3 linked regions of the Struthio camelus genome follow. The protein of the gene in region 3 interacts with the protein of the main gene of each other region in a biochemical or structural test. Links are inferred from orthologs where the notes say so. Each region holds a gene or a part of one and is shown on either strand. Other genes may lie near its edges.

The links.
Region 1: of the proteins of WNK1 (region 3) and OXSR1, one has a biochemical effect on the other in vitro, tested with the Homo sapiens proteins (2 studies listed by BioGRID and IntAct, with this or other methods). The link is inferred for Struthio camelus from reciprocal best matches to the Homo sapiens genes WNK1 and OXSR1.
Region 2: of the proteins of WNK1 (region 3) and KLHL3, one has a biochemical effect on the other in vitro, tested with the Homo sapiens proteins (2 studies listed by BioGRID). The link is inferred for Struthio camelus from reciprocal best matches to the Homo sapiens genes WNK1 and KLHL3.

What each region holds. Positions count from the first base shown.
Region 1 is NC_090943.1:6,328,442-6,339,197, forward strand, and holds the start of OXSR1 (serine/threonine-protein kinase OSR1), read left to right. Parts: upstream 1-6,562; 5' UTR 6,563-6,704; coding exon 6,705-6,774; intron 6,775-10,756. UniProt on the Homo sapiens protein: Effector serine/threonine-protein kinase component of the WNK-SPAK/OSR1 kinase cascade, which is involved in various processes, such as ion transport, response to hypertonic stress and blood pressure.
Region 2 is NC_090954.1:5,720,590-5,730,678, reverse strand, and holds the start of KLHL3 (kelch-like protein 3), read left to right. Parts: upstream 1-5,176; 5' UTR 5,177-5,209; coding exon 5,210-5,319; intron 5,320-5,750; coding exon 5,751-5,867; intron 5,868-8,797; coding exon 8,798-8,904; intron 8,905-10,089. UniProt on the Homo sapiens protein: Substrate-specific adapter of a BCR (BTB-CUL3-RBX1) E3 ubiquitin ligase complex that acts as a regulator of ion transport in the distal nephron.
Region 3 is NC_090942.1:69,115,354-69,126,488, reverse strand, and holds the start of WNK1 (serine/threonine-protein kinase WNK1), read right to left. Parts: upstream 4,691-11,135; 5' UTR 4,564-4,690; coding exon 3,772-4,563; intron 1-3,771. UniProt on the Homo sapiens protein: Serine/threonine-protein kinase component of the WNK1-SPAK/OSR1 kinase cascade, which acts as a key regulator of blood pressure and regulatory volume increase by promoting ion influx.

The sequences.
Region 1 (10,756 bases), on a different chromosome or scaffold from region 3:
GCTGCTGGTGAGCCGCGTTGTTTTATCGAGCACTGGGAACGGGAGCTTTTAAGATTTTCTCTCTGAGCTCTCAGAAATCTCTCCTAATCAGCATGCTGCTCTTGACAGACGGCTTTTTCTTTCGCTCCAAGACATGCATATTGATCAGGCGTTGCCTTTTGTTACCTAGCATCCTGCCATCGATTTTAATTGTCCCCGATTGAAGAGGAAGCATTCAGTACACGTAGAATCGCCAAGGATGAAATTTTGCTTGCTGCACCTTTCGCCAGACGGTGCGCGCACAGCTAAGCCCTGAGGAGCTGTGGGTAGCCCTCTCGGCTAGCAATCTGCACAAATTATGCTGCAGTCAATTTTTCTCTATTAAATCAGTTTCTGATTCTCTGTGACAGCTTCCCCTGCCACAGGATTTCACACTTCAGCCGTTTGTTTCCGAGGTGCCACGCTGTTTTTTTGTGGTGCTGGTGATTCATCTAACCCGCAGATATGTTGCTCCTGTCTTCCCAGTTCCCTTTTGCCACTTCTCTCCTTAAAAGATTTGTATGACTCCAAGTGAGGGCTAAAGAAAGGACTCTTGGTGAGGCTCCCTCTCAGCCTCTCTATTCCCTGGAGAGGTTTGGGCACCTTCCCACTTCCTGGGACATCCGGATCAACTCCCAAATTCGTGGCGAGCCAAATAGACCTCAGCAGCAGCCAGCAAATGCAAAAAGGCCTTGGATTTTGATCTGACTTGATGCTTCTTGTGGCTCCTCTCTGGCTCCTTGTCAGCCCATGGGGCTTCTCCTGGGCTGGTCCCTGCAGCTCCCTCTCCTGCTGCTGCCCTGGGACAGCCTCTCTAAGAAGAAAACACAGCTTGAGCCTGTATTTGAGAGAGTGCTGAATCTTTCCATCCCTCCGGTGCAAAATGCCGAAGCTAGGAGCTTGGTGGCATCCATTAATTCTCCTTCTGCCTGCAGAAAAATTTCTCATAGTTAGCTTGGTCCCATCTTTTTAAAACATTCGTGCACTCTTGGAGGGCTTTCCTAAAAAAACATTTCTTGAAAACTCTGTATATAAAGACAGTGGTCTCCTCCCACTGTCCTTCCGGTTCTAGGTTTTCCTTGACTTCAGACACACAGAAAGGATCCTATTTTTAGTAGTCAGTAGTCAATGACACAGGAATTCATGAGCAGGGAGGAAAGGATGTGAACTATCCAAATAGTTTTTTTTTTTTTTTCATGAGGCCTCTTTACATTTCTGTCTCCATAGTAATAAGCTATGAGTCACTGTTACACAGACCTATTAGACAATTATTGTAAACCCATGTCATTAGAACCTGCTAATGGGAACCGCTAACCTTGCTTGGCCTCAGCTTAGCTGGGTGCAAAGCGATATTGGCCATTAATGTAGATAAGAACAATATTCCCTCACACATCTTATTTCCAGATGGCAAAAAGTAAATGAACTTATGTTTAATTCTATCTTCTTATTTCTATTTCTTTTTCTCCTTGCATTTTAAGTGAATTCATCTTCCTTCATTGCCCTGTTACAGAACATGTTTTATTTTATTTCTCCAAAGCATTTACCAGCTGTAAAGCGGACAGATCTGGTCAGAGCGCTCCCAGGCTGGCGGACTACCCACACAATATCAACAGGGAGCACCGGTGTCTCCTCCCAGAGCTGTTTTCAGGACTGACCAAAAGACCTGCCACGACCGGCCCTGAAAAGGAGATTTAAGTACCCAGGGACGCTCAGGACTTGTCTGCTGCAGCGAGCGGCAAGGAGGGGATCTTCTCTGGCACCGTTATAGCATCTAATGTCCGGACTTCTGTCTCTACTATTTTTTTTAAGAGTTTTATTGAATATTAACATGTTTGAAGCACTCTTAAATATAGTCATGCAAAGTGTTACATAACAGACCAAGCATCAGTCTTTGGCCTCTCTTCATAAACGACAAAGCAGTGACAGCCCAGGTGAACACACTGGTGCATTAGGGCCTGGATGTTTGCATCAGATTTCTTTTGCACTTTCAAAGCAGAGCAGAAAAACTCTGAAACACATTATCAATCCCCCCTGACTTGCTCGGCTGTCCAGAAAATGTTTTATGATAGAGATTTACCATTCACAGAAGAGGCCAGAGGGAAAACCCTTCTGTCCGGAGAAGCTGTTCCAAAGAGATAACTAGATTCTCACAGCTGACAGAGGTGTGGACATGTGAAATGTCCTTTATTAGCTTCTTTGAGGACAAAGCAGTATGAAGAAAGTATTATTGTATTCCAGAGCAGAGCAAGAACTGATTATTAAATGTAGTTCCAGTACATGGTAATCAAGATCTTGTTCTAATTAACTATTTCGTAAACCTAACATCAATTTTATACTAGATTTCAAGGAGGCAGCAAAGCTGTGATCTGTTACTGACAGCGTTAATTGGCTTTCAATTTATACACTAAAAAGCATAAACTTAGAATAAAAGAGAAAGAAGTACGACCTTGTCTTGGTCATAAGCGCTTTACTTGTTTCCTAATGCTTAAAATCTGGGGCATAATTTTCAGCGGAGAAAGTAGGAGAATAGTGTAGCGTTTCTGCTAGCTGAGAGGCAGTGATGATGGGATAAGAAATGTGTTTGCAGAGTGAAAGCTGGTTTCAGTAAACAGACTGTGAGAACCAGAATTCACCTGTTAGAACCGGGCCTTCAGCTACTTGACTTCAAAGTGACCTCAAAGGAGAATTTAAAATGACTTAGCACGCTACCCGTGAATGACAGGGTGGAGATACGTGGTAGTACACAGGATCATTTATAGAAACCTGCCGACGTGGTTGACACTGGCATTTGGCTTGTGGTTTGAAAACGTTCCACCAAACTGATTATTAAAAACTTGCTCCGATCAGAGGATTTTAAATCACTGCTCCTTACTTCACTGCACGGTCCTTGCCTCATTTCTCAAAAACCAAAGCAAAAATGGCATGAGAAATCCCCGGAGATAAATTGCATGCTTGTATTTGTTGGCTACAGACCAAAGAGCCTTGCCCTTTGTTAAATAATCAGATACCGTTTGATGGACTAAGTTCCCTTCAATAAACCTGCAAGTATTTCCATCAAGAACGAATAGCAGGCAAATTTTGTAGTGAAACAAGGTCGAGCGTTCTCCTTGCCAGAGCACGCTTGCACTATTATGAATGTAATAAGACAGGCATTGTTAGGCTCCCTCTTGCTTTGGTAAACCACGACCGTACCAAGCAGTTCAATAAGCACATTAACTGCTACTGTTTGTGAGAATCATGGTAGCTAATGCGCAGTCCCTTACGAGCAGCAGTTTATGATGCTTTAAAAAGCCTTTGACTAGAAACGCGGCAGCAAATTCCATAGCCTAAAACACAACTGAACTGTGACACTACATGCTTCTGCATGACTGTTCCGAAAGAGCAACTTCCAGGCTAACTGTACCAAAAAGAAAACTATATTTGAGAGTAAGTTGAAATCTGAAATGCCTCAATAGGCAAACTGGAGTTATTAAGGCTAGTTTTCTACAGTCCCGGTGTAAATAAAGTTTACTTATGATCACACTGATGATGAGGATATCTTACCATTGAGGACCCTTTACAGGTACTAAAGCTATTCACTTTGCACAGAATATTAGAGTCACCATCCCACCCATTAAATATCGGTTTTATGATAGCCACTATTATATGAGCCAAAAAAAAAAAAGAAAAGCAAAGCTGGTCTGTGCCATTAAGTTTCATTGAAATAGCATGTAATTGTCCTCTCAAAGGCAGGAAACAGAATCACAGAATCACAGAATCGTTTAGGTTGGAAGGGACCTCTGGAGATCATCTAGTCCAACCTCCCTGCTCAAGCAGGGTCCTCTAGAGCATATGCCTTATGAGGATGAAAGCCTTTTGTGTGCACACAGGTGTGCACAGACCTGTGAGCTAGCCATCTCCAAAGGCTCAGAGCCAGCTGGGAGGAAACACCAGCCCCAGGGACATTGATGAAACACAGCGGTCAGGGTAAAGCCTTTATGCAGCAGCAGAAGCAATGGGAGGAGGGGATCGCCTGCTCCAATCATTGAGATATTAAATTTTAAGTCAAGAAGTATAGCAAACCCAGATCTGAGACCTTTTCTCAGACTGTAGCTTTCCTACCAGAAAGAAGTCTAGAGTTCTTCCACTTCTCACTCTTCCCTAATGCCTGGTAGAGAGCGGAGGTGGATACGCAGGCAACTGCTTTTCCACTTCAGACTTCTACTAAAATGTCTTGTTATTACAACAAACCACTTGCCGCGGCAGCACCACTTTACAGGCTGTTTTATAAATAGAGACATTTCCTCTACCCTGAAAAGCTTACAACCTACATGAGACAGACAAAATAAAGCGAATCAGGAAAAGTAGGATGAGCAGAATATTAACGATGAAACAGGAGAAGGTGCTGCTTGAAGATCTGAAGTGGGCTAAGTGTTAAGAACTTCACAGAGGCCAGCTCCCTTTTTTCATCCTTCTCCAGACTCCCATCGAAACAATTTGCTGGATGAATGCAACAGCAACGTCTGACTTTTGAGGGATTCAACATCGTGAGTTCATTTAAAACATAAACGCAATATCTGTGGGATCCAGATTCTATGCGAAAGAGAGCTCTTTGGTTTTAAAATATGGAAATGGAGAGTTCATCGCAGAGGTGAAAAGTTAAAATACATCATTCATTTGTGTGTGCTTATGTGGCCACTGGTGGTCTAGTCAATGCACATTTAAAATTTTCCTATTTATCAAAGTCTACTCTATTCCTCAAAAGATAAGGCTTATAGTGGACATAATCCTGTCCCATCGATCTAAAGCAAAAGGAGTTTTAGCGTTGTCTTCAGGGGGAGTATTTTCTCCCCAAAACAAGAGAATTTAAAACACGGCCTAGACTTTAAAAATAGAGTGGTAAAATGAAGCCTACGCATCACTGTGGCTATAAAGGTTTTAAGTAGGTGCTTTGAGATTTTCAGGATCAGGGCCTGTGTCTTCTTCAGTTGTTGACGCCTGGCTCAGATCCATTTTTAACACGCGGTCAGCTATCGGAAATATTCACCTGAGTGGGGCAAAACCTGCTTTGAATTGCTACAAAAAACTACTTTTATACGGCTAAAAGATCACAGAGATGGTTCCGAGCAATAATTAAGGCATATTTAGCAAGTATTAGAGATCGCTTGGCAGAGGAACGTGTAACAGAGGCAAGCAGGAAAACCGAACAGCTTTTAACTCGGAAGCTTTGTCTGACGGACAGAGACCGTCTTTGTTCGGTGTTTGGACAACAGCGAGCAAGATGCGGCTCTGGGTCATTTCCTTTGGTAGGACAACGAAGAGGAGAAGGAAGGAGTTATTGTCCTGCGTTAGGTAGCGCAAGTGAAAATACTGGAGTCACGCCCCGCGTTTGGCAGGGTCCCGTGGCCCTCTATAAAGCTGGGTTCATCAGACGTGTCTCAGGAATTTGCCCTAATAAGCTAAAAATACGTAAAGCCGATGTTCTTTGCCACACAGAAGCGTCTGCTATCAAGCTACAGGAAGAACAGCGCCTGAAAAACACAACTTGACACAGAAATTCCACATTTTGCTTGATTGTCCTGATCGTTTCTGTTGTGTGTGGTGACAGCAAGAACACGCTGTGTTATGGCTATTAGGACTATTTAAAACCTCCAGACACCTATGAAACCAATGTAAACAGCAGCCTATGTGAGTTCGTGGTAAAAATGACCCTCCCATTCCTCGTTCTTTTAATCTTTTCTTTAGGGTCTCTACCCCCACCTCGCCAGCTCCAGCAACGGACCTGCGCGCAGCCCAAGTGCAGTCTAAACACCTTGGCGTTTGGTGGCCGGCACGTTTCAGAACTGCTCGTTTTTGGAGGTGGATGGGGCAAAACGGGCCTGCTGATCCCTTCACACCCATCCTAACCCCTGGATGCTATTTTTAAAGTGTGGCAAGTGGAGGCCTGAGGCACCCGGGGCCGAGCTCTACCCCTGCTCGCCGCCCTGCCTCCTTCGTGGCACTTGGCCTCAGAAACCGTCGCCAGCCCCAGGCCCAGCGCCCCTTCCCCCCTCCCTCTCCCCAGCCCCCCACGGGAGCCTCTCGGGAGGAGGGCGACGGGACCCCGGAGAAGGACTGCGGGGGATCGACAGCCTTTTCACCAATAGGAGCTCGGCTTTCATAGCCAGCAGCCAATCAGCGTCGGGGGCGGGTCTATAAGCGAGCAGTCCTTCCCGCCTCTCGCCTGAGGGAGGGGAAGATGCGGGCGGCCGCCATCTTGTGTGTGGCATCCCCGCCCTTCCCACTCTCTCCTCCCTGGCGGCCCTACTCTCCCCCCCACCTCCGCCGTCCCGCGACGGCGGCGGAGGGCCGAGGACAGCGGCGGCGGCGGCCCCCTTTCTCGGCCGAATAAACAAAAAGACAGCGGGCGGCCGGCCGGCGGGGCGCCGCGCTCAAGATGGCGCCGGGCGGCGCCCTGCTGGCGCTGGAGCGCGCGCGGGTGGGTGACGTCAGCGGGACTCTGGGCATGGGCAGGTGGAGGGAGCAGGCAAAGTTTGGCCGGCGCTAGCGGGAGGCGGGCGGGCGGCGGCGGCGGCCGGGGCTGCGGGCGCCGCTGCCGGCAGTGCTCGGGGCGGGGGCGGCGGTTGCGCCTCGGCTCGGCTGTGTGCTCCGCTCCGCTCCGCTGCGCTGCGTTGCTGGCGGCGCGCGCGGGCCGCCGCGCCGCTGCCATGGCCGAGGACCCCAGCGCCCTGCCCTGGTCCATCAACAAGGATGACTACGAGCTGCAGGAGGTGATCGGTGAGTGCGGGGGGGGGGGGGTCCTGCCCCCCCCCCCCATCTGAGGGGTGTGTGTGTAACCGTTTGGGGGGGGGGTGTCCCCCCCCCCGCCAGGAGGACTTTGTTTGGGGGGGGGGTCTGTGTAGGGAGGGGGTGGTGTTCCCCCCCGTGGAGGGTGTGGAGGGGGGGGTCTGCTCCCCAAATGGGGGGGGGCAGAGGAGCAGATGCCCCCCGCCCTCAATGATGGCTGTATGTAGGGTCTATTCCCCCCCCCCCGAAACCCAGGGAAGGGGTGGTGGGGATCTGCTCCCTCCCCCCCAAGGGGGGGGGGGCTATGTTTGGATTTGGAGGGGGGGCCCCGTTGCTGTGTTTTTGTGACCCTCTGGGTGCGTGGGGGGGTGTCTGCTGCCCCTCGAGGGGTGTGGGGGGGTTTGGTGTCCCCCCCCCCGATACCTCACGGCGGGGGGGGCTCCCCTGTCCCTTGGGGGGGGGGGGGACACCCTCCAGGGCAAGGGCTGCTTGGGGTTTGGGGGGGGGAGGATCAGTGCACCCTCGTGCTGGGTGGCAGAGGATGGGACGGGGTCTGTGCTCTGGGGGCTCCTTTACTGACCCGTCGCTTACTGACCCGGCTGAATCCACTGTGCTGGGGTGGGGGGTGAGGTCGCCTGCGGTGCAAACCCCAAAATTTATACGGGCTCCCTCCCTCCAGAGCAGCCGGGCGCCTCCGCTGCAGCACCTGGCGCTTTGGGTGCTCTGTTGCTTTGGCGTCTTCAGGGGACGGAGGACTTTGTAGTGCCACCAAAGCAGTGGCACTTTTTTTTCTCCTCTTCCCTGGGTTTTTACTATTGTCTGAATCTTCATTCATTGTCCTCTCGGCTTGAGGCCTGGCCCTTGCTCTCTAGTAAATGATTTTTCTTTCTTTTTTTTTTTTTTTTTAAAAACATTTTGACTTTAAACTGACACAGTTACCAAAGGCCTCCTGCTGTCCTGATTTATTGGCCGTCTCAACCGTTCGGCTGGGGTGTGTGTTTGAGGGATATATTGCTCTAGGTTGCGCGTGTGACACGTCTGAGGTGGTGCCACAGGCAATGCTAAGGTCAGTGCCTCTTGTGTCACTCTCTGGAGGCAGGAAACAAAGTGGGAGGTGGCAGGGCAGGCTCCTGGCCAGGAGGCTTTTAGGAAGGAGGTTAATTTTCGGTTTAATCTTTGTAAAGTGCTTTTACTTGAAATTTATAAATGACATAGCTCTATCGTGCCCAGGCCTTGCATCTCTGCCCAACAGGGAGACTTAGTTTCTGTTAACAAGGGTGGGAGAGTTTGGGGAAAATGCTGTTTTAAGAGATTAAATTCTTGGCATTGTTTGAAAGTCGGAAGGAACTAAAGCTGTTGGGGGGGGGAAAAATCCTTGTGGCAGTTCTGGAAATCCCTGTTGCTCCACTGGATCAGGCTTTATCCTCTCCCTTCGCCTAGTGGGAGCAGCAGCGCTTTAGAAAGGAGGCAAACCATCAGTAAAGACCGGGAAGACGTAATCTCGGAGATCAGCCCGTTAAACCTCCTCGGAGATCATCCCGTTAAACCTCCTCTGGAAGACGCACCCTGGTGAGGCTGGTGTCGAGCCTCCTCCAGGAGCAGCAGATAAAGGTGCAGGGGCAAAGAGGGGGGAAGAACAGGCCACTGGGCTCCCAGTCCCCGCAGGAAAGGGAGCTGCGGGAGTTGCACCCGTGCTCGCAGGAAGCGCTTCTCCCGTGGGAGTCTCCGAAGGGGTGCTCTCGCATAACACAAAGCCAGGTTTTGAGTATCCAGCGAAAGGACAAGCTGCCTCTTTGTAGCTGGGGAACGGAGTGGGATGGGAACAAAAGGGAATGCAAATGCGCTCCTGCTCTTAGGAGGACTTGCTGCTAGAGACGCACGTCCTATAGTCCAACAGTATTAGAAGGAGGACGTAGATACGTTGTGGTCTCACTGGAGAAAAATCAGGGATAGGATATTTCAGTTCTTTCATGTCTTTCCCCTACTCCTCTGTAAACTTTGAGTTTCTGGTTGTCATCTGCTCATTGAAAGATTGTGTTGGCATTCTGGAATGTAATGGAGAGTATGCTGAAATGTGTATATTACAAACATATGGTTCCTTTTTTTTTTTTTTTTCAATTTCCCATCCCCCCCATCTTACTCATTTTCAACACTGGTGTGCCTGCCAGCGCCCTGGATGTATATGTGACGCAAATTTTCTAGCGCATTTATCATTTGTGGGACAAAATGTCACTGTGTTAACTGAGCTGGACTGTGTTAACTGAGCTGGACTGCTCCTGCTTCGTGTCTCTTGTAAACCTCAAGGTTTTTCTGAGCTCCTTTGACTTCTGCAGAACTGTAAAAGTTCTTCAGTAGTGAACGAAGAAGGGATCTGGTGTGGAAAGGGGTGAACCTTGCAGTAGTGCTTTTAAAGGATTTAACTTGTTTTCTGATGAAAATGTTCTTTAAATTTTGAGTCCAGGAGGTTACCAACTCAGTTATTTTTCACATCAGAATAAAGGAAATCAATGTCTGACTACATGATCTAATTCCTTATTTGTGCTATTTTTGCCAGAAGATATTCATGTGTGGCTTTCATATGACTTGGATGGCTCTGTACTATTTCAGTGCAAGAACTGAAAGAGCAAGCATTCTAGCTGCTAAAAAAAAAAAAATAAATAAATAATTTCTCCTGTAAAACTGCCTTCCTGGTTCTAGCTAATACTAAAAAGAGATTACTCAGCCCTGGACATGATTCATGCCATTATAAAGGTATAGATTAATGCTTATGTTTATTATGCTTGGTTAGTGTGAGTGGCTAAGTGCTGAGTAGCCTCCTTAGGCTTAAATAACTTACATTACAGTGAATTAAGAGGTCTTGCTTAGGATCAGAACCTGACTTTCATTTGAGGGGGGGGAAACAAAAAAAAAAAAAAAGGAAGTGTGGGCTGAGGGAGGAGGAAGCAAGTTACAATGCATTTCTGTGGCATGCACCCCCAGAGTAGTGTTAGCCTTTGCAGGTGAATACCATCTGTGGAGACATCTAAATTTTCTTTTAAAAAGAAAAATGTAGTCTATCCTCATGCTTGTGAAGGTGGTCTTCCAAGTGTGAGTTGCATATAAATCATTGCAGTCGTCTTTTTGAAGCCTGCAAAAAACCCATTATACCTCATGCTGCTTGTGCTGCTCTCGTGCTCGCAGAGCCAGGTTCCTTTGGATCTCGCAGTTCCCGCTGGACATGCTGACAGCAGTAGTGAAGTCCATTGGAACTGGATCATTTCTCCTTTTGCTACTTTTTTTTTTTTTCCTCTTTTTTGAAAGATAAGGGCTGTACTGGCTGTGGCCATTTGATTTGGGAACATCCTCTTTGCTATTAACAGTGTGTGCCAGAAACAGAAGATAAATTAGCAGTGGGAGTTCTCCCTTGCTCTACTCCTATGCCCTTTTCCCTCTGACAGATTCCTTCAGAGCAGTGAAGGGAACACAGGCTGGGGAGAACAGATGTGTTGGGAGTTTCTTCTCCCCTCAGAAATCAAGCTTAAATTGAAAATTGAAGTGCACATTTACTGAATGGTTAGGGTTTTTTTTAATGGCTGATTAGCTTTTGAGTGGGGCTTTGCCCATGGACAGCATGATCTTTTGGAGTTTGTTATTTAGGTTTCTAGTTGTGTTTTTTCCAAGCTGAACGTGCGAGCGTGTATGCCTGTATAGGAGAAATTCTTCTTCACCGATATGTAGGAACTTCTTGGAAATTAATTTTTGCACTTCCCCAAATCTTGTCCAGATATCTATGGTCACCCGCCCTGTGCTTGAATACATCTCTCACGTACTGAAAACGTGCAGCCAGCTAGAAAGAGTAGCCTATAAATACTCGTCAGGTATAGTCAAAGTCCTTTTAAGTTAAGATTAGGGTGGAATAGGAGACACTGGTCCAATGATAACTTTTTAGGTTTCTCTTCTGAAGTGTGTTGGGTTTTTCTTTTTCCTCGCAAGA
Region 2 (10,089 bases), on a different chromosome or scaffold from region 3:
CTAGAAGTGAGGAACGCAGTGAAACTGCAAGGGATTGCCCAAACTTTCTTATGTTTCTAGTTTTAGAGAAGAGACAGGAGGCGGCGAACTGGTCACAGGGAGTAGCGATGTGGGATTTGGCTCTTAGGAAGAAAAGTTCACGCTATTCACCTGCTTCCCTCTTTCAAAGTGCGTGTTATGTAGGACTGCACAAAAGCTGCCTGGCTCGGGAAAGTCCTGAGCCTGGGTTTAAAAAGGACTGTGTCCCGTCAAGAGCTTCGCCCGGCTGGGTGGCTGCTCTTGGTGCTCCTTTATGTACTTTTGTCTAGCGTTTCGGCTGGAATATGTGGCCTCAAAACGTGCGCTTAAGGCCAGCAGATTTCCCCCTGGATTTTAATGGCATTGCTTCTCCCTTTTGTAGATCACAAGGAACACGTTTTAATTTCGGGATTGCTGCTTGGATCACCTCTGTCTTGGCCTCCAAGCCTGCCAAAACTTAAATATCCAGATAATTCACCCGTCACATCTGCTCCGTGGGGTCACGTGCCTGTGTTGTAACGGGCAGGCACAGAAGCAGTTGCAGAAGGGGACGGGCTGGAGGTTAACCTGAAACAGTCACATGTGGCAAGAAATTATGTCAGGATCAACTCCGTTACCCCTGCTGATAGGGACGTTTATTTCCTGGAGAGTTAACATAACACTGTATGGTTGGGTGCGTGCACTCCGATTCTCAATTTGCAAGGTGCGTTTGAGTTTGGAAAGGGAAAAAAAAAAAAAAAAAAAGGAATGTGAATTTTTGGTTAAAGAACTAAAAAAAACTTGTAATTTTAAATGTGCCTTTAAATGGTGCTAATCTCTTCATACTATTTGTCTGAGAAATACAATACCTGCCTTAGAAGGTAAATGACGTTCTTGTCGTATTTGCGTCGTTTTGTGTTGGTTCCAGCATTGTCAGAGAACTCTCTTCTTCTCAGTAATTCCCGGCGCCTGCGTTTCTCCTGAGATCTCCTCTGAGATCAGTGTTCCTTTTGGGGTCTGTCATCTGCCAATTACATATTCCACTAAACTGATGTCTCAGTGTAGATTCAGGCACTGAAAAAAACCCTGTAACTAAATTGCAAATAAATATTATTATGAAAACAAAAAACCTTTCTATTATGTTCCCTGTAATACATTTTAATGATAATATTTCTCTGAAATCCTCTCAAATCCATCTGTCTGTTTAGATTCCTTCAATCACAGTTTTTAATATCTTTCTATTGACCCAAAGAAAATTCTAGAAGTTGGGATTTTATAAATATGCCATCACACTGACATCCTTTTCTTATTTTGTTTTGTCTGACTCAAGGGATGGAACCGTCGGGCATAAAGTCTTTATGGTTTTAGTTACTGATTCTGCATGAAAAAGTTGCTCCAGTTAAGGTAAAGCTTACTTTTTTTTTTCCCCCGCATTCTGTCAAGACTAAATTAATATTTTGGTCTTCACTTGTCTTAGCAGAAGCATTTAAGCTTTGAAGACTAGGAACAGCTATTGGGTATCTTTTAGGTTTTTAGAGCAGAACTGTGTCAAACCTGTGAGAAAGTTAAGAGTAAGACTACAGCGATGTTTGGCAGTGCATCCCAAAAGAAGTGCTGTAGGCTTAGGACGTTCATAGTTAACATGTCACTCCACTTTTCAGTTAACAGAAAGCTATGAAAGGCCAGTTCAGGACGCCCAAGTAACCTTGGCTCTGTCCTTTCTGAAACATCAGTACCAAAGACCAAAAAGATAACTACTGCACGCTGTTTGTCTTTCTCTGGGTGCTGTGTGCCATAAGAGGCTGCCAGGTTTCCAAACCGTTTGGACCCCAGGAAGCTGGAGCCATTTGGAAAGCAGCACGTGCATTTACTGATTTCTCTAAGCCGAGCACTTTTTGCTGACCTCCGCTGAGAAGGATGCGCGCGAGGCTCTCCGCCTCAGACGGCAAAAGCCTCTTGGTGCTTGGAGAGGATGAACAACCCACCCCACTTCCAGTGTCAGGGGCTGCGTTCCTGCCTGAAGGCTCCTGGCCGGGCGTTGCAGTGGCTGCTCCCTTCCCGTAGCTCCAGACACTGGTGGTGGGGCTGTCCGACCCCATGGAGGTGCACAGGTCCACGAGTCCCGTGGTGCGCGGGAGGCCAACCCTCCGCCAGCACCAGGGGCTCCACGATGTGTACGAGGCAATCTGGACCGCAGACCTCTGCGTGCAGCTGCAGCAGAGTCCTGAGGTGTCCTAGCAGTCCCAGCCTTGGTGGCCCTGTCCTGGCTTGCCTCCTCCTGGAGCGATCGGGATTGCCTGGCAGTGCCTGGGTCAGCCCTGGGGTGGTGCAACGCAGCTCCGCCGCGAGAGCGTGGTCGAGCTGTGGGAGAGACGCTGGTGGTGTCCATGTGAAGGTCAGGAGCTGAGCCCTGAGGACGTTCCCTCAGAAGTGTGAGCAGAAGCCCGTCCTGTCCACCGCTGAAGGAAGGCTCATTTGAAAGCTGCTGTTTCTTTAGGGTGAACTTCTGGCTCCAGTGAAGCCAGTGGTGGAATTGATTGTTGGCAGAGTCACCGTTTTCGTTCCTGGGGTTTACCAGCTCTCTGCACAGTAATAATTTTCTGAGGGGACGGTTTAGCTCAGAGGAAGGCTTTTATTCTTCCTCATAATCTACAAAGACATCTGTAATTACTGCTGGTAACTAAGGCAACCCAACTTTATAGTTAATGCATGCATGCAGCAGAGCTACGGGTTATGGGTTTTTAAAATACCTTCTTGCTGGTTGGTATGCAGCCTGAGCTCAGACAGGCCCTGCTACGTGCCTGCAGGTAGCTTGGGCCAAGGCCTACTAGTGTGTCTGTCTTGTCTTGGAGAGGAGGACAGTGGTGTAAAGGGGCTTCTGATTAGCTTCCCTGATGCCATTTGGGACTTTGAGATCAGGTCCATTTGTTTTATGTGGGGGGAGTGCTGAAATGAGGACCTCGCAGGAGGTGGTGGTGGTGGTGGTGGGGCTGGCGCTCTGCCTCTTTGCTTATCTTGGGAGGATCCTGCTGTGCCCCTAACAAGGTTATTAATCCAGCCCGGGGGAACTAAATCGTTGTCAGCGCGTGGCCTCGGATGGCCCAGGAATAGAACAGATTGCTCTTGGCACCCGGGTGGCAAGTCCTGCTGGTGCAGGAGGACGCCGCTGCTCGAATGTAAAGGTGCTCCAGGGAAAGTACATCTGATTACGGAGGAGAGGGACCCTTGCGTGTCCTGGTGTTCCCAGCCAGTACCTTTGATTAGAGAGCTTTGTTCTTTTTCTTTGTTCTGCTAATAAAATAGTGGAGTAATTCCTAAGTAGAACAATTTTTAGTGTTGTAGGAGAATACTCAGAAAAGTGTTATGTAATGCATTATTTTCTTCCTCTCGGGGTAGTTTTTGCTTTGTGGCAGATTGCATTTACTTGGATAGTTTAGGCCCTTGCCTTTTTATGGTGGAAATGTGTCAGTGGTATCAGAGAGCATGTGTATGGTAGTGTGAAATCACTGTTCCAGAGAAAGGCATCCCCACTGTATTAATGGTACAAAAATCTATGGAAGCTGAGTCATTTTGAAGCATGAGTTAAAGGCACTTAGCTGTTAAATTTTTTAACATGTTTTTTATGTGAGTCATTTGAAAAAACTTTAAATAGCATATCCTGATTTTTTTGAATCAAATTGTATACCAGACTATCTGCAGAACTTTTTTATGGTGAGTCTTTAGGTATTTGGTAAAGTCTGAAATCCACCTGTGCTAGCAAGTGTGAGAATGTCTTTTAGGACAGTTTTTAAAAGGTTGCTCTTCACGCTCTTTAGGAGGAATTGGTCAATCGTTTTTTAAAAATTCCAGAGCAAGGTTTTTGCTTTTAAAGCGTACAGACCAATATTGGTGGCGTTGCAGCTTTATGGAGGCTGGTCGATCTGACATTTGCTTTTGGGGTTCAGTGAAACTTGCCGCGTCCTTTGTCCTGCATCTCTTGCCGGCTGGAAAGTTTGACAATACGAATCTTTGCTCTCTGGCGCCGAAATGCTACTAAATAAATCTCAGTAGGGTGTAGTAGTCTTTCTTATTAAAGAAACCTCATGATTTTTGTTTGCATCGGTTGATTTTTGGATGGGGTAAGGTCAATCTTTGAACGAGAGGGAAAGCAGCGTGTTGCGGAGGCCCAGCTGCTCCCACCCCGGAGCCCTGCGTGCAGGTGTCTGCTGCCTCCCTCTTTCACTTTTTTTTTTCTTTTTTTTTCTTTTCTCTTGGCTTCCTGTAGGTGTTTCAGCTTTGGAGACCGAAAGTTCAGTGAAGTTACTCGCGCTTTCAGAGCCTCGTTTCTCGCTGCTGGGCTCTGGCCCGCCGCGAGGGAAGCTTTGGCAGTTTAAAAAGCAAGGCTTTACGCTGCAGTTTTGAACGCTGCGGTCGAATTTCACTTGGCCGAAGATTTCAACGCAGGCTTTTGATAGATACATCACTGAGGCTTAACCGAATTTGGCAGCGTCCCCAGCGAGCAGTTGGCCGCTCCGTGCGCGTGAAGGCTGCTAGCGGCGCGGGCAGGAGCAGGGAGGGTTCAGCTTGCCCTGGGCACAGAAAAACCGGTTGTTTCGTTGCCTGTTTTTTCACCCGTGCTAACTCAGTGCCTGCCGCCGCGTGCAACTTGGCCGCTGTGCAGCGGGTTGCTTCTGGAAGAAGGACGAGCCCATCCAGGGAGGACGAGCGCGAGGTGGCGGAGGCGAGGAGCTCGGCGTGGTCCGGGGCCGGGCAGCGCGGGGAGGGTGATCTGCCCTTCGCTTGGGGCTGCGCTTAGACGTGGACCACCTTGCTCGACCTGTCTTGTTTGCTTTTGGCTGCTGGAAGGTCGGAGGAATGGGCTCTGGATTTCAGCAATGAGTAATCTCGCTGTAAAGTGCTGCATTTTTTTTTTCTTTTTTTTTTTTCCACAGATGGAAACCTTTAGCTCCGAGTGATTTCACACGCTTTCAGATCACAGAGGTAGATATATCGACCTTATGTCGATTGTGGATAAAGAGCCAGGGCTCAGCACAAAGCAATGAGGACGCGTCTGTGCCTTAGGCACCTGTTGGCCTGGTTAAACACAGCACGTAATGGGGCGCATCTGATTTTACTTTGCCTATATACTGTGCAGTTCTGATAGGAAATTCTGGTTTAATAATTCTTTCTACAGGTTTCAGTGACATTAAGTAGACCTATTTCTGGAGTGGAAATGAGAAGGGGCTTCCGTAACGCTGATGCTCTGGGAGCTGTGAAAGCCCTTTTTGGATTTTCCTCTGTGGAAGGAGATACAGGTCATATATGTCTGCCTGCGTTTTTCAGGTGGGAATTTGAAAACTAAACTTGTGTTTCTCTGTGTGGATGTTAAGGTATTCCTGGTGCTCTCGTAATTCCCAGTGCTGAAGTCTGTTCCTCTTCAGTGAGGCAATTATGTTTTGGCTTGGATTTCCGCTTATTCTGCTTTCCTGGACCGGAGCCTGTAGGGCTGGGCTTTGTCCTCGCGTGTTTGGTGCTTTTTTCTGTTCCTGATGGAAACGTGGGCTGGTTGGCTTTCGGCGTCCCTGCGGAGGTAGCTGCCTTCTCTGATGCTCTGCGTATGGCCCACCTGGGCTGCCTGACAGACATACAAATAACTCCGTGCGTGCACTGCCCTCCGTGGCAGTTTTACGGTTCATTTTTTTTAGTGCCATTAAATCAAACTTTCTATTCCTTTTTTTTTTCTTTTTTTTTCTTTTTCTAATCCCTATTTTTAGCGTTAAGCAGAGTTCCCGATCCTCTGAGGCAGCCGAAGACGAAAAGGAGCAGCGCACGGTGACGGTCAACCCCTCTCACATGAGAAAGGCATTCAAGGTCATGAACGAGTTACGGAGGTACGCTTTCGACCGACTGGGCATCCCCTCCGGTCTGATGAGAACCGAAGGGCTTCTGGGGGACTTGCAAGAAATCTGTGCCATCTCTGTCACGGCTAGCGGTTGCGTGGAGGTTGTTAATAAACAAGTAGGAAGGGACAGTTGAAACGTGGCCGTTCCTTGCTGGGTTGCAGCCTCGCACCTGCCTAACTTTCCGTCAGAAACCACACAGCTGTGTCTCAGAAGCACTATCTGAGCAATATGCTCTGTTTATAAATGATAATTCATCTAGTGCTTTCCATTACTTACAGCAAGTTCTGCTGTAAACTGTGTTCTTAACTGAGCTAATGGTCTGAAAACCAGTAACAATATTACAGACATTAAGACACCACGTAATTACAGACGAAGGATTATTAATGTACCGTTCCTGTTCTCGTTGACTAGTGGTGTCACTCACTCTGGGCTTTGCCCTCTTAAGTAGGAGGGGGAGGAAAAAAAGCAACCTAGGAGGAGGTCATACCCCTATTTGCTAATTTTAAATCCTAATATTGGTTAAAGGAGAACACTGTGGTGTCTTTGCACAACTGTGTGGGTAAAGGGAGGAGGAAGGTTGAAAAAAAATCTCAGTGAAGGCATTCTTTAAGACACCCTTGCCCTTGCATCAGCTCTGTGGTGGCCGTGGTTAAATCTGAGTTGTTTCTTGGCTGTTATCGTCCCCTGAGTCAGAGAGAATTTTAGTGAGCCTTTTTCCAGCTAGTTCATTTGAGCCCTTAACCATTCAAACAGAGACTTGAAAACCCAATTAAAAAAAAATTTCCTATATTCCTAACACTGCACATAAGCATACGCGCTGCCTTGCTATGCAGATGTTATGGTGAAAGCAGATAACACTTCACTCTTCCTGCATGCTCTAAGTACTCGAGAGATGCTGTAATAGCCGCCTCTCTTCTGTGGATTAAGTACTTTCCTAACATACACGTTCTCCAGCACAGAGAAGGATTAGAAACGTCTCCGTAGATGTTTGACAGTGATTCTCAGCTGATGCATAAGGAGGAGGAAAATGGAAATAGCCTTCCTTTGTAACAAATACGTGAAGCTGAATATGTTTTCTTCTTGGCATCCCTCTAGTCCTCTCTTTGTACTGAGAGCAAAAGATCTGAAAATAGAGGTTTGTGCAGCTATATTCAGAAATCTATTGTGCTACTATTATTCCTTTGTTAATTGAAGCGTAGTGGGAATAGCTGGAGACTGACAATGTGTCTGTATTTAGCTAGATCTTGTGCAATACTGAAATGTTAAAATGTTTAAGGTTGAAGCTGCCCTTAAGCACCTGTTTACTGTTGGATTTTTTTTTTTTTAACTTTCCCCTTGGGTGCGCTCCTTTTTCTCAGCTCCTGCTGCTGTTCTGGAATATGGAGTTCCCATGTCTACATGTATTGTGCATTGAACTTGCGGTCAGTTAAGCTGTCAACAATCAGTGTTAATAGCTGCCTTGAATAATAGTGCCTCAAATTGAATGCCTTTAGAAGGTCTAGAGAAATCTTGCTAAACCTTTAACCTATTTGCTGTAGGTTTTTCACTTGAAATTTTTAGCTTCCAAATAAAAATCAGATTAATTTTCATGAGAGATACCTTAGATGAATATAGATAAGCTGAAGGGAAGGAGAAGACCCTCACTGAGTGACCATTAAAAAATTTCTCTACTTACCATCATCCATTCTAAACTGGGGAAGAGTAGAGAACAGACCATCTTTTCCTGCTTACTCTCTCCCTATGTTCAAACTGTAACCCTCTGTTTCACAAACAGTGTTTGTTTATTTCAGTGCATGGAGGAGAGGAGGGAGACGTACCTAGTCCCTTAGAAGCTCTGTGTGTAGTTGATGTGCAGTTTTCTAAAGAAAAAAAAAATGCAGCATTGTGATAAACAGTTCTGAAGAGAAGGCAACATCTAGATTTACTGTCTCTGATCTGTTTTCAGGCTTGACATTTGAAAAGAACACCCCTTTTTTTGCATTTGTATGCTCAGAGATCTTAAACCAACTTACTGGGAGGCTGAGCACTTCTAGCTGTCTGCATCTCAGCAGTCCTGTGCAAACATTAACTAATGAATCCTCAAAAGACATACACGGAACTGGTAGGAAAGGTCACGGATTAATGAAGTGACTTTGCCAAAGCTGTACAATGAGTCAGTGAGGGATCTCAAAGTGTTAGTTTCTGTCTGGAACCCCTTGGTTTATCTCATTGACTCTTAATCCCAGCCTAATTCATGCATTTAACTTAAGTTTTATCAGGACCACTGATAAACTCTAGTGATTGACTGTTCCTTGTTGGGAGAACCATGGGAAGCCCTCTGTGCTAGGCAGGACAGAACTGATGTTTGGGAGCTCGTGGGCTGTAGGGCCAAGCGTTTCTGTACCAAGCCTGACCTAGGAAGAGAGTGCAGAGACAACTTTCTTTTTCTGCTCCACCTTTCTGAACGCTGTACAAAGTCATATTCCCTTGCTCTGTCTTGTTTTAGAGACCTATCAGGACTTGCCTCGAGGTAGCACCCAAACGCTTAAGCTCTTTTGTACCTTCTCTAAACCCTATTCTTTTGAGAGATGGAGGCAGTCCCTTTACCCATCTGTTCTTTGGGCAGCACGTATGTCTAGTTCGGCTTTACCAGATTTTTTTCTTTTGAAGCAGACCAGCTACAGCTCCACAGCAAGCAGGGCTGCAGCCCTGGAAAGATGCAGGATTTGCTCTGTAGGCCAACACTGACAGGAGCTGGTAGTTGAAGGCTAAAAGGAGCTTCCACTGAGGTTTGGCAGAAGCTTCAGTATCTAATTATGGCTCAGGTACCTTGTCTGAAGTGGTAGGATTTTGGATTACTTTTTCAGGGTGTACTGACATAGCTTTTTGCATGACCAGGAGTTCTGAAATGATGTTTGTCTTTTCTGGTGTTTTTCCAGCAAGCGGCTCCTCTGTGATGTGGTGATTGTGGCTGAAACTGTGGAGATGGAAGCCCACCGTGTGGTCCTTGCGGCCTGCAGCCCTTATTTTTGTGCCATGTTTACAGGTACTCTTCCCTACAGCAATCACTGCACTGTGGCTGGATGGGCCGTTGCAGCTTCTGAGACTTGTAACTGTGTCTCTGGAAGGACCTGCAGCAAAGGAAGTAGGCATGGGCCTCTATAGACAGGATTTCCTTGGAAGAGAAGAAACACGGTTAGGTCTGCAGTTTGTTACACTTGATGGATGATCTTGGTCATCTTTTGGCTAATTTCCTTGAGGTAGGGTCAGTGAGGCAGGGTCCTTGGGTATGAGGGAGTCTGTAGCATATGGGTCACAGGGTGACTACTATGAGGTTTGGCTCACTGGTTCTTTTTTATTTTTTCTCTCCTTAAAAAAAATTCGAACTCATGAAAACACATGTTGTTAATATCAAGCACGTGTGCCATGCCCTAAAAGATCACAGTGCACATCAAAGAAGGTCCTGGCACAGAAGCTGCAGTTTCAAGGCCTAGCCCTGCAGATGCTTATTCACAGTCACGGATGTTTAATCTCCAATGGCACTTTTTGCTACTGCCCGAAATAACACTGTTGTTCTCTTGGTCCTGCTGTGTATTATTAGCTCTGCAGGGTCCGCTGTTGCAGCCCTCTCTGTAGTAATGGCAGATGCAACCCCAGCGTGGAAGGGAAAAAGAGGACAAAATTCGTGCTCTGATTGTGTGATCCGTAATGGGGGTGCTCTTCAGAGGCTGTGCCCGGAGGGGGCAGCCAAAAGAGCACTGCCAGTACCACGACAGGAGAACGACCAGACCAACATGCTGAGTTTCTCTAGTGAAGTTTCTGTCCGCTTGGGAGCTCCTTAGCTTCCTTGCCTTTTCCTTGCCTTGCCAGGACTGGAACTAACTTAACCAAATACAAAGGGAACGATTACACGTTCCAGGGAACGGTTGTTACGGTCCCTTGGCTTCAGCCTGACGCGCTGCTGTGCATAAGTGAGGTTTTGCTCTGATTTTGTGTTCCTTGGTCTGTGGCCTAGGCAAGGAGGAAGCCCGTTTCAGAGACACCCAGGAGCTATGTGGATGCCTCTTCCTTTTAAAAGCCTTGGGGTTAGGCCCGATTTGATTTGCTTTGCTGGAAGCAGAATGCGGTGTTTCTCAGGAAAAAGCTTGTCATTTGGCAGTCCTTTTTTCCCCTCTGTAATGGAGACAGGCAGAAACTGCAGAAGAAAGAATAACATTTTGACTGCAAAAAG
Region 3 (11,135 bases):
ATACTTCCTTTGACACAAAAGTATTACTTAGCATAGTTAAATTTAACGCAAAAGGAACAGGTATCACATTTTGGTCATAACGTTACCTGACTAATACAGACAGGTGACAAGACTTACAGCTCTGGAACGTATTTTAAAAAGACCATACCGTAATGTGATTGTATGGAGAGAGATATTTTCAACTAAAAGCAAAAATAGGGGCATTAAGTGCTTTTGCCAACTTCTACCTACTTAAGTCTCATTAAAGCGGTAACTCTAACTACTTCTTCACTAAATTTATGAGACGAGCTAATGACAACAGTAGGAGGCACACTTGACTCAGAATAACTAGAGCTGAGGTGAATATATAGAATGAGAATAAAAATATTTGAAAGCGAAGACTGCACTAGCCATTTCCTTGCAGTAACTAAGCTAAGCACGGGCCCTAAGTAGTTGCTGCTCAGCTCTTCACAGCTCCACTGTGCTTATGGCAGAGCAGCTATTTCAAATTTAAATACTTGCATCTAGTATTTAAACCAGCTCACCTGCAATTTGCTAGTATAGAAAGATCGCAAATTAAACCAGGACAGTCCATCAGCCTTGCCTTCCTCAGGATTCGGGTTGCATATCTATCAGCAACCTTGAAATACTCAATTCCTGCCAATCGAGTCCTCTCATCTTCCTCAAATAACAAAGAAAAATTAGAGCATTGTCCAGGACCTCCCTTAGAGAGGTATTAAGAATGCCATCGAATCACACATCGAATTTCAACTCACTCTCCTTCCGTTTGCTCCACAATGCAGTACACCAAGCATAAGGGCCATTAAAGCGCAGTTCAAGAGCCTTCTTAAGGATATGGAGCAATATTCTCCAGAGTATCTTCAGCAACTTGGAAAGCCAAATTGCATTTGATAAGCAGGACTTAGGCACCCAAACTTCTTGATTTAACCTTTGTCTCCAAGAAGCATGTACATAAGAATTAGGTATAGTTATATTATCCATCGTTAAAAAGTCATTCGGCCAGAGTCCATTACAGATGCTCCTGTGCTGGACAGGAATGCCTTGATCCACAGTATTCCTACTACCGAGTGTCTTCTGATATTCAAACGCTGCAGTTTCACTGAACTAAAAGAAGCTAGCCTCTTATTTCCTTCCAAATAGCACAGACCTTAAAGAAACTGAAGCGCGTAAGGTATGCTAGAAAAGCCTTAGAAGAACATACCGCCAAGGATTCTGTTAAAGTACGAATTTTTCATTTCCATTTGGTTATATGTCTTGCAATCAAGAACTGTGATACACCTTTATCAGCTTTGAACAAGATAGGAGAGGAGCAATTTAAGCTGCAAAACCATGCTGAGCAGCCTTATTCTGGCAGTACTACAGCTGCACTATAAAAGACTCCAGAAAGATGGGACACCTAGGACACTCATACTTGCTAGCATGAACTACATATTAGAAAAGCTGTTCTATTACTGAAGAAAGCAAGCATTTTAAGACAATTAAAAGTAAGCATGAATTAGTTATGGTAGGTGTAATATGGCACAGAAGTCATTCACATTTTCACAGGAAAATAAAGTGTGCTTTGAAGGCTCACCAATCCTCAAGCCACGGCATTCTGGAAAAACAGTATGACACCTAAGTTTGTCTGTCTTAGTGAATCTAGATTGTATTTTGATACAAATCAAGTACACGGAATTTCACCAACCTGTCCACAGTTATAGTTTCCTAGAGAAAGACAAAGATGTACCTATCACACCAACTACTATCAAGTTCCTCCTTTTGTTACTCGAGGCAAACAGTAAAACAGGATTTAATCTTAAAATATCCTACTAAATGGAGTCTAGCTCCTTTAGCAAATACTTCAACAGCTATAAAGTTTATATTCATGTCTCAAAATTGAGATTTTTATGCAGTCTCCTTATGGCAGGAACACTGCAGTCTTCAAAGTAATTTAAACCACAATGCACTCCTGCAATACTGCTAACCTCCAAGCAAAATATCAACCGTTTCCCCCTTACAAATATTTTCATTCATGATTTTTGCAATCTCATTATTAAATACTACTTATGGAATTTTTTAATCAATTGAAAGCTCAGCAATATGCTCTTTAGGAATATGCTTATTTATTAAGTTACTTTAAAATGCTTCTTTAAACAATTTGTTCACGTGGTACTGAAGATGGTTAGGACATTTCAACAGAGGTAACGTTAGCGGGAAATGACCGATTCCAAGCTGACATTAGTTTCTGATCAGCAAATACAGCATAAAGATTAAAACAGATTTCAGGAGTTAAAAGTCAAGGAACTCTGTAATTGAAGAGACTAAAATTTCAAATGTAAGAATCATATCACTTTAGTGGATTATTCACCCCCTCTCAGTACAGACTGCACATGCTTAAGCAGAGCCCAACACTGGATTGTTTCACTTTTTTATTCAAAAGTAATGCCTGGAAGAAGACCACAGCCATTATATAGCTAGCATGGAGGAAGGGGGCATGCTTAAGCCATAAAGTAAACTGGAAGTTTACCTTCACAGTCAGTAAACGTGGAATAATGGCAATAATATAACTAACCAAGATACTAGCCAGAAGCTTGAGCAACGATCAAAAATGAAGTATGAATACAAACTGAGAGATCTCTTAATAATTTATCTCAGTGTGATAGGAATAGTTTAAAAAAATTACTTTTTGTGGGGGAAGAAAGTTTTCATATATTACTGCAAACATTCACGTGTGAGCAACTAACTGCTTAGCTCACCCTCAGAAATTTCTAGGATTTTCATCCAATGCTCGTCTACCCTAAATTGGATGTGAACACACCCCATAATAAACCTGTACTATTGAACCCCTCCCTAGAATCACAGTGAAACCCAACTCTGAAAAGCAAGCACTATCCTTTTAACACTGAGGCTTTGAAAGCCAACTTGCATGCTAGGCATTTGTTACTGGTACTCTGCGCTCTTCCCACTTCTTTTAAGTTTGTTGCACAGCAACCTGCCTCTCAGTTACGCTATCGGCGTTCCTGCCACCAGCAGCCTAGGACTTGACCAAACTCTAGCCCTGCTGAGGCTAGAAACTTACTGGAAGAGTAGCGTCTTATTCCAGTTTAATCCACTAACCATTTCGAAAAGTTGAACTTCAGCTTTTTACAGCTTCAGAAAGGAGACAATTACTCTCCTCCTAATGCCTATATCCAGTGAGAACTCTAGAACTTCAAATGAAAAAATAAGTTTATAAAACTAAACAATGTGGCACACTAAGTGAATTTGTGTATGTTCTAAGGATACCTCCTACAACAATCTACTGCCACAAATACATTAAACGTCTGTGAAATTCACATTTAAATATCTTTCTAAAAAAAAAAAAATCTGCTTAAACACTTTTTGAAAAATGAAGTTTACCTCAAGTTGACATTCATTTACATTGCAACTGGCACGTTTTCACTTAGCCTCCCTGAAGTCTTGTAAAAATACTTGTACAACCCTCCAAGTTACATTTTGGAGATGTAAAACATAAGATGCTGTAAGAAAGAGTCTTGGTGCAAATCCTGAGGAGAAAACGCTAAAAAATGTCTTCAGAGAGCAGAGTCTTTAAAAGAATTAACAAGCAAATGGACTCCAAGGAAAGGCTGCACCTTCCTTCCAAAGGAGCGGCTCAGGAGGTCTGCAGCACCCTGCCTGAATAAAGCTGACTTCAGATCAATGGATTTTACCTGCTTCAAGCATGCAGCCTAGCACCTGGGAGAGTGATTGTGCCTTGGTAATTTGTTATTATTATATATATTTTTTTTTTACCTGTAGCTCGCACCAGGCGACTTCCACAGTGGTCTCTGTATCCAGTCCTTTATAGACAGTTTTGAAAGAGCCTCTTCCGATCTCGATGTCAAACTTCAGGAAGCGACCGTCCGGGGAGATGCCCACCGCCTTGGTCTCGAGCTCTTCGATGTCTTCCTGCTGCGTCCTCCGCTCCTCAAATTCCCGGCTGGCAGCTGACGCGCTGCCAGCAGTACTGGTGGGGGGCAGCGCGGCGGCCTCCTCCTCCTCATCTTTGGGCAGCAGCGGGGCGGCGTCCTTGGCGGCAGGGGGCTCCTGAGCAGCCTGGCCTTCGACGGGGAGCGGGGCGGCCGGCGGCGGCTGCTGCAGCAGCAGGAGCAGCGAGGGGGCCTGGGCGGCGCTGACAGCGGTGCCGCAGGTCCGGCTGGCACCCTCGGGCGGCGAGACGAGCGGAGCGGCGCTACCTCCCGCGACGGGGGCCGAGGGCGCGGCGGGCTGCAAACTGGGCAGCTCCAAGGCGGTGGCATTGGAGTCGCAGATGACGCTCCGGCGGAAGAAGCGGTGCTCGGTGGCCGCCGCTCCTCGGCTGTCCTTGTCCATGGTGTGGCGGCGGCGCCGGTACTCCTCGCTACGGCCTCCGCTCCCCGCTCCGCCGCCGGCTCCGCCCGCCCCGGCACCGCCGTGGTCAGCGGCGGCGGCTCCCAGCTTGTCGCCGACGGAGCTGTCCGAGCTGGAACCGTTTTTGGGCGGCGGCGGCGGCGGCGCCAGGAAGCGAGGGGCCGAGGTGCCGCTCTCCGCGGCGCCCCCCGACATCGCGCCGCGGCGAAGCGCTGCTAGGGCGAGGCGGGGCCGGGGGCAGGCGAGGGAAGAGGCCGGTCACTGAGCGGGGAGCGCGCCCGGCCGCGGCTGCTGTCGCGGCTGCAACAGAGCAGGGTCCCAAGGGCTCCTCACGGCGGAGCGGGGAGGCGGCTGCTGGCGAGGCTGGGCCGGCGGGGTGGGTCCCCGCTTAGCGTCTGCATCCATCCTGCAGCGGCGAGCCGGGCAGCGGGGCCGACATGGAGCACCGGGAGCGGCGGGGAGGGCGGCCGAGAGGGGGGAAAAGCCCGGGCGGGGGCGGAGGGCCCCGGCCGGGGTTGGGGGGGAAGAAGCCGGCGCCTCGCCCGGCCGCTTCAAGGCGAGAGGAAGGGGAGAGAAACCGGGACGGCCACGGAGCGAGGCCCCGGGGGTTGGCCGGGGGCGCAGGCCCCGGAGGAAGCCGCCGCGCTCAGTCACTCGCACCGGGCGGGGGGAGGCCTGGGCAGGCCCAGCGCCCTCAGCCCCCGCCGGGGTTGGGGGGGGGGGCAGGGGAAGGGGCCCGGGGGCTCAGCCCCGCCTCGCAGGGGCGCCCATGGCGGCCGCGGCCTCCGCCTCCCGGTAGGCAGCCACCGCCCGCGCGAGGCCGGGCCGGGCCGCGCTGCGCTGCCTCTAGCAGCCGCCGCCGCCGCCTCGCACGGAGCCGGAAACCCTCCTCCTGCCCCCCGCCCGCTGCCCGGGGCTCGGCGCCGCTCCTCACCGGGGGCCGCCCGCCGCCGCCGCCACAGGTGAGCCGAATCCGGGAGGCGCCCCGCGCCGCGGCGGGAGGCGGCGGCGGGGAGGAGGAGAAGGAGGAGGGGGGGAGGGGGGTAGAGAGGAGCGGGAGCCGCCGCCGCGGCCGGCCCGGGCACGTCTCCGCGCTAAATGGCGACGGGAGCCCGAAACCGACACAGAGGGAGGGAGGGAAGGAGGGCGAGGGGCCGAGCGCGCCCCGCCGGGCACGCCCCCTTCCGCGCCCGCTCCGCGCATGCGCGGCCGCCCGCGCTACGAAAGGTGGCGCCCGCTTCACCCCCTCCCCGCCCCCCCCCGCTCCTTCTTTTTCCTTTCGCCGCCTCGGAGAGCTGGCAGCTCCCGTCGTGCCCCGCGCGGGGCGCGGCGCCTCATGGGAGCTGTAGTTCCCGCCGGTGGGCTGGCGCCTCGCCGTGCCCTCGAGCAGGGCAGGGCCGCAGCGGGCCAGGCGAGGGCGAGGGGGGCAGCGGCCCGGGGCGAGGGGAGGGAGCCCCTCACCGCACCCAGTAGTGCCTACGGCTGCGGGGCTGGGGGGGAGGGATGATGCGCTGCGGTGGAGCGAGGCGAAGCCTTGTGGGAGCTGCCCCTGGCTCTCGCTCTTTCAAAATGGGGCCGGCCAGAGGGTGCGCAGACCCCTGCCCTCCGCCCGTGCCGCGGGCTGAGCCGGGGGCCTGGGCGCGGCACGGCTAAAGGAGGCTAAAACGGCAATAAATATATTCCCGTTGCCTGTAGCTCCTCCAGTCCACAGGGTTTTCTGTTCAGGGGTTAGCCCTGGCGCTCTTCAGTCTGCAGGGACGCAGACCGGGGTCTTCGGATGCCACAAAATAGTCGTAGTCCTGAGAAGCAGGCAGGCCTCTGCAACATGAACAAGCATTCTCCTTTCGCATTTCAACCAGCAAACTGTGCTTGAAAACCTTGCAAGTATAGCTGATGGGCCGAGCGTGAATAAATGTGAGAAATGCAAAGCAAAGAGCAGGAACAGGAAAGGCTAACAGCAAGGTGTACCATGTAACCTATGTTAAAAGTGTACTAAGTGTGTTAGGAAATAATTGGCTTTGTGTTTTCAATCAGCCTCCTCGTTTGGCTTCTTTAAAATTGTGGGCAGAGATAACTGTGTGCATGTGTTTTGTAGAAGCAGGTTAGAGTGAATAGGGTTTTTTTGGTCTCAGTTTAGGTCATCAGAACATGTATTATTTGGCCAAGCAATCTAAAATGCAAGTAACTCGTGTGAATGTGCGCTCTCAATTATTTAAAAGAAACACCATCTGCAGACTTTGCCCCCCAAATGATCATTATCCTGTCATAATTTGAGTCATGACTTGGGTTCCTGTAGTTGAATAAAGGATGTTCAACCGTCAGAAGGGCAGTAAGAGCCCACGTGAACACTGACACAAATCAGGAACTTTCAGGTTAGCAAACCACTGGTACACAATAGTCATCTAGTTTATTTATATCGTGTTCCTCTTTTGTATTAATATATCAAAACCAAGCACTTTCCATCTTAACAAGTGCAGTGTTTTGAAGTCAGTGGGAAGATACTGAAGGAGGGGTAAATGGTTTGGTACCGTGCCTTTTAGGTGACTGCAATTCAAAAATTATGTGAGGAAAAAAACTTGGAAATTTCCCCGTGTGAATAATCTGTTCCTAACAGATGCACTGGCATTTCAAATACTTTTTTAAAAGTTACTTTTAAACTAGCCGTTTAGAGGAAGTTGTGCACTGCATTACTGATATGAGGTAATGAACATAATGAATACTCATTCTGCACAGTAGAACAGAAACGGCTCTTAGAGAGGTCCACAACCCTCAGCCACACAATACCAACCCAAGCAATTCTCACACTCTCATATTCCTTATACACTAAGTTTAATACCACACAGCAATTAAAACATCATTGTTTTCTGTACATCTATCTACCTCTTTGTAACAACAAACAAAATGATGATACCGTCTTCACAAAAGAGGTGACGTGCACTTCATTGTACAGCTCTTACACAAAAACTGCTGCACTGCTCAAGCCTTCTAGAGCTTGCCTTCACTGCAAAAGTTAATTTGTGTTGGTATAGGCTATGTCCGCCACTTAAACTGCACTGGCTTAAAGGAGCAGACACTCTTTAAAACAGTGCTGAGCTAAATGGAGTAATTTGATTAGCTGCAAAGAGTGACAGGATCAGAACTGAGCAACTCATAATTCAATCCGTCACATCCCCACTGCCCTGCCAGTAGACCAGCAATAGACCATCAACATCTTAAATAGCAAGCGGGGTTGAGATTCATTTAACACTTGGCTACAAGTTTTTGTGCATCTCCCTGAACAACAGAATGGAGATTCATCTGTAGTAGCAGCAGATGTACTCCCGCTAGCTTTATACTAGTAAGAGTAGTAGGGCACAGTAGCTGAGCTGCAGCAAGGGCTGGCAACCAAGGTCCCGTTACCTCCCCTAGGCCTGGTCTGTGCCACTCTACCTTCACTGCTGTTGTTGCCTTCTGGAGCTACATTAAAGCACAGGTCTGCATTCCTCCACTGCCTGTTGCATTTATGCAAAACTTCTGGATGGTGTAAATAGCAAACATGGAGATAAACAGCAAACTTTACTCCAGCTTGATGCCATTTTTAACTACACGAGCATGTACCTAAATAACACAGTGATAAATCAATCCTTGTGGTGTAAGCCTACACACTTAGGTGAATTCTGCTTGCAGCATCAGTAATCACTGGCAGGCAGCTCCCAGGTCTGTGCCCAGCCATGTGCCATATGATCTACTGCAAAAGGGACATGGGCTGCAGTTTGGGAACCGCCTCCCTGTGGTCTAAACGCGTGGTTTAAATGAGACCTCGTGGGCAGGCCCTCTCTTACTCAAGTGAATTTCACTTATTGTTCTTAAATATATTTTCCCCTAGTTAATGAAGCAAAATCTTTGTAAAACAGAGCGGAAGCTCTGCAGTGCGTAGCCGCAGGGGGCCCGAGGCAGATTCCTGCTAAAAATTGTGGTAACTATGTAAAAAAGCCCCACCTCAGTGTCGGATCCAGCACATTCCTTGGTGCCCTTGAAATTCGATAAAGTTAGACACCTGAGCGCAACGTTTTAAGCATGAGGTCCCTAACACCCGGCTCTTCTCACCAGCACCTCTTCTGGGCAGAGACAGAAATAGCAATCATCTCTGCAGAAAAAAACTTAGCATCTGACCTGGAGGTGGGAATGATGGATGTTGTCTTCTTTGGCTCTGAAAAATAAAGTGGAATCATACTGGTAATTACGTTTTATGTGGGTGCTGTTTTAATTTTGTCATTCTAAAAAAAGAACATAATAAAGAGTGTGGGTTCACTTTCCCTTCAGTTTGATTTCTTTGAATCTGTAAAACTGTGCTTAGGCTAAATGGAAATTTTCAGTATTGCTGCAAGATTTAATAAAGCATTAAAGTAAATTCTATATGTATGCTGTGCTTAGAAACAAGTAATTAAAATAGTTTCAGTGGCAGAGTTCCTCAGCCAATTAAAAATATTTCTTTCTCCTGTTGCTGCGTAAGGAAATCCACAGAAATAAGGAGTTTGACTATACTTGAGAAATTACAGGCAGAGACTTAAATGATCTTTTGATTAAATCCAAAGGGCTGTCACTTGACATCACTGTAAAAATATCCGCCTTCTCTTAAGCCTCTTTTATTGAGAGTCATCTTGCTTGGAACAGTAATAGTTTAAAAAATAACTCTGAATGAGTGTGATTTTGAAGTCGACTGAATCAGAAACTTTTTTTCTGTTTTGCTTTCTGCAGTGAAATTTCATTCACTGTTGGCATTCATGACTGCCCATGTGACAAAGTATTAATGTGAAACAGCTATTTTCTCTTATGCAATACGTTATGCAATACAAAAGGCAATGCCATAACTTTGATGCATGTCATTTTATTCCATAACCTAAATGCTTTTCAAATAAAACTGTTCATCTAATATTTATTGCACATTACAAGGTTACACCTGTGGTGCCATATGAAGATAGTGACAAGCCCAATTTTCCTACTACAATGTCTTCTTTTTCTCTGATATTTTTCAGATCTAGACTTCTGCCACAGTATTCATTTGTGTTTCTTAATGGTGGAAGTTAGTGAGACAAAGTGTTTCTTGACTGTAAGTTTGAAAAATGAGAGTTTTTAACTTTCTAGAAATGCTAGCACTGTTTTTTTTTTTTTTGAAAATCATATTCAGTAGGAAATTTATTCCAAAACCTTGCATTTCTTTTATTCTTTTATCTTTCATGAGGTTTTGTACTTTCAAGTATCTCTGGAAGTCAGTTCATGTTGAAATCAGTAATTCTGAACTTTGGAGACATCTCTAGGATCTACAAGCAGATTTAAGTCTTCAGCCTTTGCAGTAGGTGGTAGGTGTAGTAAGTGTTACATGGTGAGTCCTTCCAAAACTTTTGAAAGTGGGTAGTCTATCTACAAGCAGAGACCATAGGAACTGTCAAAGAGCAAGAACTACAAACTTTACTGGACTCAAAACTAAACATCTCTCTTTGAGCTCTTCTAGCTTTCAGAATCTGCAAGTTTTACAGGAAGATAAGGAAGATAACTACACCAGCCAAACTGTATAAGAATGACTGAACTCAGAGATGATGATTTTATATGATTTTTCTTCTTTATTTGTTGCAAAAATGTCAACAACCCTGTCCCATAAAACCAGGATATAACGTGTGCTTCTTCATCAGATTGACGCTTACATTGCCATTTCTTCCCCTCTCACCCCAGCTACTGGAATATAAGGTAAAACTCTCTTTCTTTCCCTTCTCCCACCATTCTCACCATTCATTGAGCCACATTAACAAATATATCCCAACCATATGAAGGTAAACCATTCAGAGAACTAGTGCAAGGACATATCAGTGGTCTGCTATCTGTGTTTTTTAATGACCAAAGTACAATTTTCAGTCATATTAGTAACCATTTAAGTCTAGAGCTCATTGTAGGCTACACTGCTGGCTCTCTGCTGTTTGTATCCAGTCAACTGTTATTAGCATATCTTTTTATCTATATGTGCTCTCTAAGCATAATCCCTTCAGATAAAGTCAAACAACGGGAACATTATTTAAAAAAAAACCCAAACACTGAATTTTATCAGAGATAAGACTCAGTGATTGTTCATGCACTATTTCAAACTATGTTAAGCCATAATGGCAGGCACTGTGGCCAAATTCAATGTCACCCCCTGTTGGGGGAGAGGAGAAAGGTTGATGGTTGCTCAGTTCGTTCTGTATGTCGTCTTCATGTCTATTCTTGCTATGTTTCTTTATATAATGTGCTTGTGAGGTAGTCTGATAGCGAGTGTTATAGAAGCATGGATATTTGCTGAAATCAGCATTCTAGTCTTCCTTTCTCTGTGCCTGTAGTGATTGCTTAGGAAGTCTCATTTATCTTTTTCTCTCTTAGGCTTTAGGGAATTCTGTACTTCACAGCAGTGTCATAACACATCTAAAGCAAGCACAGAAGCAGGGGCACTGCTTTAATGAAGAGAAGCTGTTTGATGAAGGTGGATGGAGGAAAGTGTGAAAAGATGATGGTGCTGGGCTTTTAACTGAATCTGCTAGTGACGCTGCGGAGCATGCAACCTGTCTTGTTTGCTGTTCACCAGCCACAAGCTGATGAAAATCAATTGCTCTCATAGCAGGCCTAGTCCTGCTCCCCTCTGCATCAACATACAAAACTAAAATAGTACTCACTTCAGTCAAAGCGTGAGCAGGCTCATAGTCCAGCATAAAGAACCTCCTTATGTCCTTTAAAAGCATAGCCTGGGCCAAAGGCAAAGCATT